3 linked regions of the Macaca mulatta genome follow. The protein of the gene in region 1 interacts with the protein of each later gene in a pairwise test. Links are inferred from orthologs where the notes say so. Each region holds a gene or a part of one and is shown on either strand. Other genes may lie near its edges.

Evidence for each region.
Region 2: the proteins of PRKAR2B (region 1) and KIF5B interact in binary tests that used the Homo sapiens proteins (3 or more experiments, as listed by UniProt). The two-hybrid records come from large-scale screens. The link is inferred for Macaca mulatta from reciprocal best matches to the Homo sapiens genes PRKAR2B and KIF5B.
Region 3: the proteins of PRKAR2B (region 1) and TAF12 interact in binary tests that used the Homo sapiens proteins (3 or more experiments, as listed by UniProt). The two-hybrid records come from large-scale screens. The link is inferred for Macaca mulatta from reciprocal best matches to the Homo sapiens genes PRKAR2B and TAF12.

What each region holds. Positions count from the first base shown.
Region 1 is NC_133408.1:146,759,650-146,763,168, forward strand, and holds part of PRKAR2B (cAMP-dependent protein kinase type II-beta regulatory subunit), read left to right. Parts: intron 1-3,059; coding exon 3,060-3,161; intron 3,162-3,519. UniProt on the Homo sapiens protein: Regulatory subunit of the cAMP-dependent protein kinases involved in cAMP signaling in cells. Type II regulatory chains mediate membrane association by binding to anchoring proteins, including the MAP2 kinase.
Region 2 is NC_133414.1:33,398,263-33,401,781, reverse strand, and holds part of KIF5B (kinesin-1 heavy chain), read left to right. Parts: intron 1-532; coding exon 533-637; intron 638-1,145; coding exon 1,146-1,194; intron 1,195-1,760; coding exon 1,761-1,816; intron 1,817-2,322; coding exon 2,323-2,410; intron 2,411-2,547; coding exon 2,548-2,672; intron 2,673-3,519. UniProt on the Homo sapiens protein: Microtubule-dependent motor required for normal distribution of mitochondria and lysosomes. Can induce formation of neurite-like membrane protrusions in non-neuronal cells in a ZFYVE27-dependent manner.
Region 3 is NC_133406.1:212,279,719-212,283,237, forward strand, and holds part of TAF12 (transcription initiation factor TFIID subunit 12), read left to right. Parts: coding exon 1-243; intron 244-3,519. UniProt on the Homo sapiens protein: The TFIID basal transcription factor complex plays a major role in the initiation of RNA polymerase II (Pol II)-dependent transcription.

The DNA of each region.
Region 1 (3,519 bases):
CTCATTTCCAAGGACGACTGTATATAGCATTACAGAAGTCACACATTATTTAGTCACAGTTCAGCATTTGACTCTGAAGTCGATTCAGCTGATAAAAATATCTCTTGATCAAAGAGACAAGACATTTTACATTTCTTTTAATTAGAACCAGTTATTATATACTTATTTAAAAATGTGATGAGTCACTTTTTTAAGGTTTAGAAGAAAAGCTGAGTTGTCTCAGGGAGAAGGAAACTCATCATCTGAAGTGTTTTAAGAACTGTCAGCGATTTGAATACCCAGAACCAGCAAAGAAAAAACTCCAAACCGGAACAGTCCTTCACCCACAGAAGTGTTTGTTTGCCTGTCATTAAAGCGGTGGGATAAATCTAGCATCTGCCATGACCTGTTTTATTGAGGAAGGTTTACTTTTCAAATGTAGTCATTCCAGTGGGGTTGCCATTCAGATTCAGATTGTCACACAGTGAGGAAATTGCCTCCTTGCACATCTTCAGAATAAGATCAATGATTTTATAGGTTGGCCTTTTTGAATACTGATAGTTTTTACCCCTTGTAGAAACCTTAATTGGGTATAAAAGACCCAGAATTTCCTAGTCCACGTACTACTTAAGTTCCTAAGAAGGATTAAGCATTTTCAGAGATTTTTAGTTGTCTATACATGTTACTAAATTTTATAAAAGTGGGCAGTTTGTCATGATCCTCCTGATGTATAATAGCTTTCTAAAAATGTTAGGATAATTAACATAATTGCTTAGTATTTCAAGCCTGCTTTTTAAGGGCGACTTGACTATAATAACTCCTTCTCAGGGAGAGTCGAGTAGAAAAGAAATTTTTCTTTTAAGGTCAACAGACTGGAGGTCTGCCTTATAAATGTAAGTGTAAAGATAAGCAAAAAAAGCCCAAGAGAAAAGTCCATTGCAGTATAGCCTCACTCTGTAAATAATATTTGGTCACTGTTAGCCTTAGGGGTAACATGATCTATGTGACTGTACTGATGATTTGGAAGGGGGATTGTTGAAATGGCTTCAGGATGAAAGTATTTGAAATTCTGGACTTTATATGTCACACTGGGTGTGAAGAGATACGTTACTAATGGTAAATTCTTTCTGAGAGAGATAACTGATTATGATTAGTTTCTAAACCATTAAGCTATTTTGAGTCTTCTCTGTTTTGCAATAAACTCTGTCCATAAAAATGGTGTTATACCTGATTTCCAAACCTGATTATGTATCAGAATCACTTTGGGAGCATTTATGAAATACACATTATTGAGCCCTACATGCAGAGATCTTGAGTCATTCAAGTCTGGTGTCTCAGAAATCCTTTTTAGTACTCTAGCTTATTCTGATGCAGAGCTAGGCTTGGAAATAATTTCAATATTTGTGCTAATTATCGTAAAATTTTCTTTTAAAAGAAGTATTAGGAGTAAAACAAGTCCAAATTACAGCCAATACCAAATTGGGAAACAAGATGTTTAATTTACTAGTGTCCTAGTCCTTTTGGGCCGCTGTGACAAACTGTTACAGAATGGGAGGCTTAAGCAACAAACATTTATTTCTCATCGTCTGGACACTGGGAAGTCCAAGATCAAGGCACCAGAAGATTCGGGTCTGGGGAGGGCTTGTTTTCCTGTTTAACAGACAACGTCCTCTACTTGTGTTCTCACGTGGTGGAAGGGGCAAGGGAGCTCATTAGAATCTCTTTTATAAGGACATTAATCCGATTCATGAATGCTCCACCCTCATGACCTAACCATCTCCCAAAGACTCCACCACCTAATACTATCCTGGGTGATCAGGATTTCAACAGAGGGATTTTAGAATGATAGAAACATTGAGTTGCAGCCCATCGCACCTAGAGACTTTCATCTATACTGGCCTTTTTCTCTATTGCACTAGTTCGTTTAAATTCAGCCTTACTATGGTGGCATAAGAAAGAATGAATAAGACCTAGTATTTGGTAGCACATAATAAAATTGTATAATTTTAAAATAAGTGTAATTGGATTGTTTGTAACTCAAAGGATAAATGCTTGAGGGGTCGGATACCCCATTCTCTATGATGTGCGTATGTCACGTTGCATGCCTGTATCAAAATATCTCATGTACCCCATAAATATACACCTACTATATACCCACAAAAATTAAAAATAAAAGTAAAAAATATTAAATTGTTTGCATAGTAATTTATTAAATAATATATCCCAATTTTTACTTTATTAAAATGGTATAATTGTTTATTAATGAATGCCAAGCTAACATAATTATTGAGGCTTTTATTAAAGAATTAAAATATGAGAGATTATTTAAAATAAAATTTTTAGGAAAATAATTTTTTGAGCTGTATCCTTAAAATTTTTACTAGTTCTTCAACCGAGTTCTGCATTTTTGAGGGCATGTAGTATAAACATAAACAGGAACCTTTTAGACTGTGAACATGGTAAACACTGGAATTAGATCTTACTCAAAAACATAGTTGTAATTTCTCTGTGCCTCCACATTAAAAAAAATTTTTTATGGGTACATAGTATGTGTATATATGTACAGGGTACATAAGCTATTTTGATAACAGCATACAATGCATAATGATGACATCAGGGTAAATGGAGTAGCCATCACTTTAAGCATTTATCATTTCTTTGGGCATATCTCCACATTTTTAAAAAGAAAATTTTGACATAATGTGGATATGAAAAAACATAGAGTACATAACACAGAGTAAAAGAACACAGTGCTACCATATATTTTAAAAAATGCTGTGATAGCGCCTCCTTGTGGGCAGAGCCCAACATGTTGGTCAGATTTCTGTTATGTATGAAAGTAAACATACTTCCTTAAAAAAAAAAAAGAAAACAGTATTTTATGGGGTTCTGTATTATATTTTGTGCTTGATGAAATAAAAATATGAAATGAGTTGCATTAAAAATATACTGATGTTAATCTTTTATTTCAGAATCTTCAATCATTGCTTCTTGTAGGGAATAAAATAAAACTATTTGTATAGCTTTTCCCCCATAAAATTTACCTTTTAACTGTCTTTTATTTGATATTCTGCCTTTAGGACAGGGTAACCTTCAGGAGAATAATTGTGAAAAACAATGCCAAAAAGAGAAAAATGTATGAAAGCTTTATTGAGTCACTGCCATTCCTTAAATCTTTGGAGGTAAGTGCATGTTTATACTTTTATTTTATTTTGCTTTAAAAGTTTCTGTTTTGCTAGGAATATTTAGTTCTATAGAAAAATTTCCTTGAATAAAAAAAATTTATCCATGTTTTTATTTGAAGAGATTAAGTGGTAATGCTAGTTTTTATAACTCATTGTTTCTTCTGCTATCTATAATTGCATTTGTTTTGTTATTTGAAAGTTGTTTTGTATAATTGCATTCCTACCCCGCATCTATAGCACATGTATATGTGGTCTTTATCTAATAGCAGACGTCATACAATCACATAGATGTAGGCAAGAGCCACTAGTTGTAACTTTACAGGGAGGCGTTCTCTAGGTAGAAGATGTCCTCTCT
Region 2 (3,519 bases), on another chromosome or scaffold:
GTGCTGCTGTTAATAATAGATGGGGACTCACTATAGCTTTGCTTCTAGAAAACAGCCTGTGATTTTCTGCCACTGCTAAAGAGCATCTGTTTTTATCATTTATTTGACTACTATATTAAGTAAATGACTGCTTTTAGTGTGATTCATATTACTGATTTTCATATTATAGAGAACAAGGACATCCTAGTATTTGCATGAATTTGCCTTGAAGTAGAAGGAGCAATGTAGAATTATGGAAAGAAACTAAAATCTTTTTTATTATGTTCATTTTACAATGAACATTTTACAAGCATGGATAATCTAAATCTAGTGATTAAATGAAGTGTTAAGATCTGTTGGTGACCCATGTGGTTGATGTACAGTACTATGTGTATGTGTAATAGTTGAATTGGATTTTTTAGGTATTTACAGAGCCGTTTCCACAAAATACAGTTCCCATCCTTTCTTGACTATAAGTTGTAGATTGAAACTCTTTGTTTTTACTTCATATTTTATAATTTGTCTAAGAAGTCTAGTTTTGTTTTTTGTTTAGGGTAAACTTCATGATCCAGAAGGCATGGGAATTATTCCAAGAATAGTGCAAGATATTTTTAATTATATTTACTCCATGGATGAAAATTTGGAATTTCATATTAAGGTAAATTCCTTGAGGAAAGTTTGTATTTTATTTTACAGCAAGAATACTGTTCTTAAAAAATTGTAAATGCTAGTTTCTTTAAAGTAATTTTAAAAATTATTTTTATGGAAAGGCATAGTTGAAAGATCATTCAGGTTAGTAAACTTGGATTCTTGTTCATCTGCCATTAGATGAACAGGAATGTTAACTAACTTAAATGATTTAGTCTTTAGCCTCCTCCATAAAATAAAGGAGGTTGCTTTACTGCAGAACTTGAAAGTTTCTACTACACGAAACTATTCTAATTCGTTTTAGATGAAGATAATGTGAATTATGTCCAGTGAGAAGACTGCTTAAATAACTAAGCTAATTTGGTTAATTTATGTCTTCCCATTAGAATGTGAACTATGGCTGGTATGTTGATAACTGTTCTCCTAGTCTAAACAGTGCCTAGCACTCAGACCTCAATATGTGAGTAAGTTATTATATAATTTTAGTTGATTGATGTTTTTTTAAATTTGCCCTTTAGGTTTCATATTTTGAAATATATTTGGATAAGATAAGGGACCTATTAGATGGTAAGTTAAATTCTTGCTAGTTAATCAGTTTTAAGTAGCATCTGTTAATTCCTTTTTAATAGTAGATATGAGACTATTTCTTTGTAACCTGTATGAAACTGTCTTAAGTTATTGGAAATAGAATTTTTTTTTCTTCTAAAGTTTTAGTTGAATACCTCTAAATAGAATAATTTGTTTAAAGCGATGTTTATGGGTACTTCTTAAGTAGTAATTAGAGCACTGGACTGGGAGTTACATAATCTGAGCCCTGAGTTCTAGTATTCTGTCAGCTCTCAATTAGATACGTTGTCCTTAGGCAAATCATTGAACCACTCCCGGTTAACGTTCTTGTTTATAAAATGTGGGTGGTATAGGTTGGAGTGGTCCTAAAATTCTATATTGTTACATTGGTTTCTATTTAGATCTCCTACTGTGTCTATAAGGTCTGCTTTAGAGCAATGTTTTAGCACTTTTTTTAGAGTTCAACTATTGCTGTTAGGCTGCTCAGAGACGCCTATCAATTGAATTATTTCACATCCAGTGTTAGTTTTAGGAGAATGTTGCTAATATTTATTTTTCTTTTTCAGTTTCAAAGACCAACCTTTCAGTTCATGAAGACAAAAACCGAGTTCCCTATGTAAAGGTATTTATAGTACAGTTGTCTAGAAAAACCCTGTAATACTTTTTTTTTGAGACAGTCTCACTCTGTCTCCCAGGCTGGAGTGCAGTGGTGCAATCTTGGCTCACTGCAACCTCTGCCTTCCAGGTTCAAGCAATTCTCCTGCCTCTGCCTCTTGAGTAGCTGAGATTACAGGCGTGTGCCACCACGCCCAGCTAATTTTTGTATTTTTTGTAGAGACGGGATTTCACCATGTTTGCCAGACTGGTCTCAAACTTCTGATCTCCTGATCCACCCGCCTTATTTATTTATTTATTATACGGAGTCTCACTGTGTTGCTCAGGCTGGAGTGCAGTGGCTCACTGCAACCTCCACCTCCCAGGCTCAAGCAATTCTTCTGCCTCAGGCTCCCAAGTAGCTAGGATTGCAGGCATCTCCCACTGCGCCTGGCTAATTTTTATATTTTTATTAGAGACAGGGTTTCACTATGTTGGCCAGACATTAATGTATTTTTAAAAATTATTTCACAGGGGTGCACAGAGCGTTTTGTATGTAGTCCAGATGAAGTTATGGATACCATAGATGAAGGAAAATCCAACAGACATGTAGCAGTTACAAGTAAGTAGAAAATAACACCGGTTAGGATTTAAAACCAGCTTAAAATATCCTTATCCAGGTGATTAATTATAAGATTGCTTTAGGGAAATTGTTAAGAGGAAATCATGTTTATTTATATTTGTGTAATTTCCTTGCAGATATGAATGAACATAGCTCTAGGAGTCACAGTATATTTCTTATTAATGTAAAACAAGAGAACACACAAACGGAACAAAAGCTCAGTGGAAAACTTTATCTGGTTGATTTAGCTGGTAGTGAAAAGGTAAAGTCTTCATGTATTTTGATAAATATTTAAGCATCTTTGTAAACTTTAGTTTGAATTGGGAGTTATGCAGGATTCGTTGTTGCATCTTGAAAACTTATCAAATTGGATTTGGTAACCTGAGATTTGTAACTGCTGATACCATTGCTTTATGATGACATCAACTGAATAATCAGTTCCAAGTTACTGTTGTTTGACCATAGTCTAGTTCAACTCATAAATAGTTTGTGACTTAAGATGTGTTCATGGTGAGAACTTGTTCGGTGTATGTTGTTATAAACTTTATTAGGTATCCCTTTTCTAATTTTTGGTATGTATTTTATCCATATTGGCCAGCGGGGTCCCTATTAAAACTGGTAACTGTCCATTAGTCTTTTCTGGTTTGGTTGGACTTGCTTCTTTCCTTTGGATGATTGTTTCATTATTACAATTCTATACAGTCTGATTCTTGTCTGTATCAAATTAAGTTTGAATGTTATAATAGGGACCTCTGTGACCATTTTTGCTGTTGTGCTAATTTTGTTTCTTCTGCTTAGAATGATACATCTGTTCTGTTCTGTTGTGAAGTCTTATACACATCTTTCGAAGATTATCTAATGTTGAGAATTCTCCTAAGTTGTTTATTCAGCCAACATTGCTAATTTATTGGTCTGACCTATCTTTAACATAGATACTAGCTGGGCGTGGTGGCAAAAGCCTGTAATCCCAGCTACTGGGCAGGCTGAGGCAGGAGAATTGCTTGAACCCAGGAGGCGGAGGTTGCAGTAAGCCGGAATTGAGCCACTGTACTCCAGCCTGGGTGACAGAGTGAGACTCAGTCTCAGAAAAAAAAAAAAAAAGCCACACA
Region 3 (3,519 bases), on another chromosome or scaffold:
CTTGGTCCTCACAGCTCCAAAAAGAAACAGGATCTCGATAAGCTCTATGAGCTGAAGTCCAAAGCTCGGCAGATTATGAACCAGTTTGGCCCCTCAGCCCTAATCAACCTCTCCAATTTCTCATCCATAAAACCGGAACCAGCCAGCACCCCTCCACAAGGCTCCATGGCCAACAGTACTACAGTGGTAAAGATACCAGGCACTCCTGGGACAGGAGGTCGTCTTAGCCCTGAAAACAATCAGGTATCATCCTCTTACTCTTTCTTCTCTGTGCCACCTCTTACCTATTATTTCAACCTGCAATACTTAAAGAGATGTCCATCTCAGATGCTGCTTTTTTTATCTTAGCTGTAAAGGTCTTTTCTCTCTTTTGGATTTCTAACTTGTTTTGTTTGTTTTAATATAAGTAGAGAGTTTATTTGGGCCAAATTTGAGGACTCCCAACTCAGGAGGCACAGATTCAAGTTGTCCTGAATATATACTCCTCTAACATTCTTTAGCAAATTATCATTTACAGTGTTTATTAATTACTGTGTTGTATATGGTTGTGTGTATGCATATATCCATCCATCCATCCATCCATACACACACAATACCTTGCCTATGAAAGGTGTTTTTTTCTTTCATTTTGATAAGTACTTTATATACATGTTAACCATGTAGTTGTTAAATAAAATAATAAATTGATTCATTATTCCTGTGATAAAAGTACTCTTGCTTCTAGTCATTCCATCTTGTAGTTCATCCAGTTGCTGCCATTATTAATTTTCTTCAGTGATTCTAAAATCTGCTCCATTCTTTCTACCCATAATTCTGATTCTGCCCTCCAGAACCACAAGAAATAAGTATAATTCCTTTGACTTGTTTTTTGTAGGCTGTGTAGAATGGATGAGTTGGCCCAGTATTTCAAGGGAATGAGTGGAGGGACTTGCAAAGGTTAATGAGAGCGGGTTGAACACTCAGGATATCAACCTATGTTGAATATGGAGTCTGTTGTAGAAGACAGAATTTAAAATTGTGTAGGTAGGGCAGAACATAGTGGACGTATACTAACAAATTTCTATTGGAACTTTTAGGCAATATACGATCTTTGCAGATATTTAATAAAGGAGTAAAAGTAACATAATAAAAATAGTGTATCCTATAGAGGATTAACTTGGCAGTAAGGGGACAAGATGGGTAAAAAAGGGGGTTAGACTGGGTGGATGACCAATTCTAAGACTTTTGCGGCCGGGCGCGGTGGCTCAAGCCTGTAATCCCAGCACTTTGGGAGGCCGAGACGGGCGGATCACGAGGTCAGGAGATCGAGACCATCCTGGTTAACACGGTGAAACCCTGTCTCTACTAAAAAATACAAAAAACTAGCCGGCCGAGGTGGCGGACGCCTGTAGTCCCAGCTACTCGGGAGGCGGAGGCAGGAGAATGGCGTGAACCCGGGAGGCGGAGCTTGCAGTGAGCTGAGATCCAGCCACTGCACTCCAGCCTGGGTGACAGCGCGAGACTCCGTCTCAAAAAAAAAAAAAAAAAAAAAAAAAAGACTTTTGCAATAAATCAAGACATGTAGTGAAGGCTTGAATTAGGTGATAATGATAGAATGAAGAAGAATGGATGGATATGAGATGTCATTAACAAATATTTATTCATTTTTTCTTCAGAGAAGGGGTTTTGCTCTGCTGCCCAGGCTAGAGTGCAATGGTATAATCATAGCTCACTGTAGCCTCAAATTTCTGGGTTCGCCCGGGCATGGTATCTCAAGCCTGTAATCCCAGCACTTTGAGAGGCCAAGGCGAGCAGATCGCGAGGTCAGGAGATTGAGACTATTCTGGCCAACATGGTGAAACCCCATCTCTACTAAAAATACAAAAAAAATAGCCAGTCATGGTGGCGGGCGCGTGTAGTCCCAGCTACTTGGGAGGCTGAGGCTGGAGAATGGCGTGAACCCGGGAGGCGGAGCTTGCAGTGAGCAGAGATTACTCCACTGCACTCCAGCCTGGGCGACAGAGCAAGATTCTGTCTCAAAAATATATATATATATTTTCTTGGCTGGGTGCGGTGGCTCACGCCTGTAATCCCAGCACTTTGGGAGGCCAAGGCAGGCGATAACCCAACGTCAAGAATTCAAGACCGGCCGGGCGCGGTGGCTCAAGCCTGTAATCCCAGCCCTTTGGGAGGCCGAGACGGGCGGATCACGAGGTCAGGAGATCGAGACCATCCTGGCTAACACGGTGAAACCCCGTCTCTACTAAAAAATACAAAAAGCTAGCCGGGTGAGGTGGCGGGCGCCTGTAGTCCCAGCTACTCGGGCTGAGGCAGGAGAATGGCGTAAACTCGGGAGGCGGAGCTTGCAGTGAGCTGAGATCCAGCCACTGCACTCCAGCCTGGGTGACACAGCGAGACTCCGTCTCAAAAAAAAAAAAAAAAAAAGAGTTCAAGACCAGCCTGGCCAATATGCTGAAACCCCATATCTACTAAAATTACAAAAATTAGCCTGGTGTGGTGATGCGCGCCTGTAGTCCCAGCTACTCAGGAGACTGAGGCAGAAGAATCACCTGAACCTGGGAGGCAGAAGTTGCAGTAAGCCGAGATTGCACCACTGCACTCCAGCCTGGGTGACAGAATGAGATTCTGTCTCCAAAAAAAAAAAAAGGTTTCTTTTTTCCTTATTTCAAAAATTATACAAGTTTATCACAGAAACTTCAGAAATACACAAAGAATAAATAGCCCATAATTCTAATGCCACCACCCTAAAATAGCCATGGTTAGCATTGTAGTGTATGGCTTTTGGTATTTTTCTTTTTTTTTTCTGTCTCTCTCTCTCTCTCTCTTTTTTGAGACAGAGTCTCGCTCTGTCACCCAGGATGGAGTGCAATGGCATGATCTTGGCTCACTGCAACCTCCATTTCCCAATTCAAGCTGCTCTCCTGCCTCAGCCTCCCTAATAGTTGGGATTATAGGCACCCACCACCACGCCCTGCTAATTTTTGTATTTTTAGGAGAGACGGGGTTTCGCCATGTTGGTCAGGCTGATCTCGAACTCCTGACCCCAGGTGATCCACCCACCTCCCAAAGTGCTGGGATTACAGGCATGAGCCATCATACCCAGCTCTTTTTTTAATTAATTCATTAATTTTTTAAGTGGAATTTTACTGGAAGGTTTACAGCAGGAAAGAAAGGAAAGTACACTTGGAAGAGACTCAAATGGGCACTAAGGAGGTCAAGTGCCTAATTTTTTCTTTTTTTTTAATTTTTAATATATTTTTTAGATTTTTTTTTTTTTTGAGATGGAGTCTCACTCTTGCCCATGCTGAAGCGCAGTGGCGCAATCTCGTCTCACTGCAAGCTCCGCCTCCTGGGTTCACGCCATTCTCCTGCCTCAGCCTCCCAAGTAGCTGGGACTACAGGCGCCCACCACCATGCCCAGCTAATTTTTTTTTTGTATTTTTAGTAGAGACAGGGTTTTACCATGTTAGCCAGGATATTCTCGGTCTCCTGACCTCGTGATCCACCCACCTTGGCCTC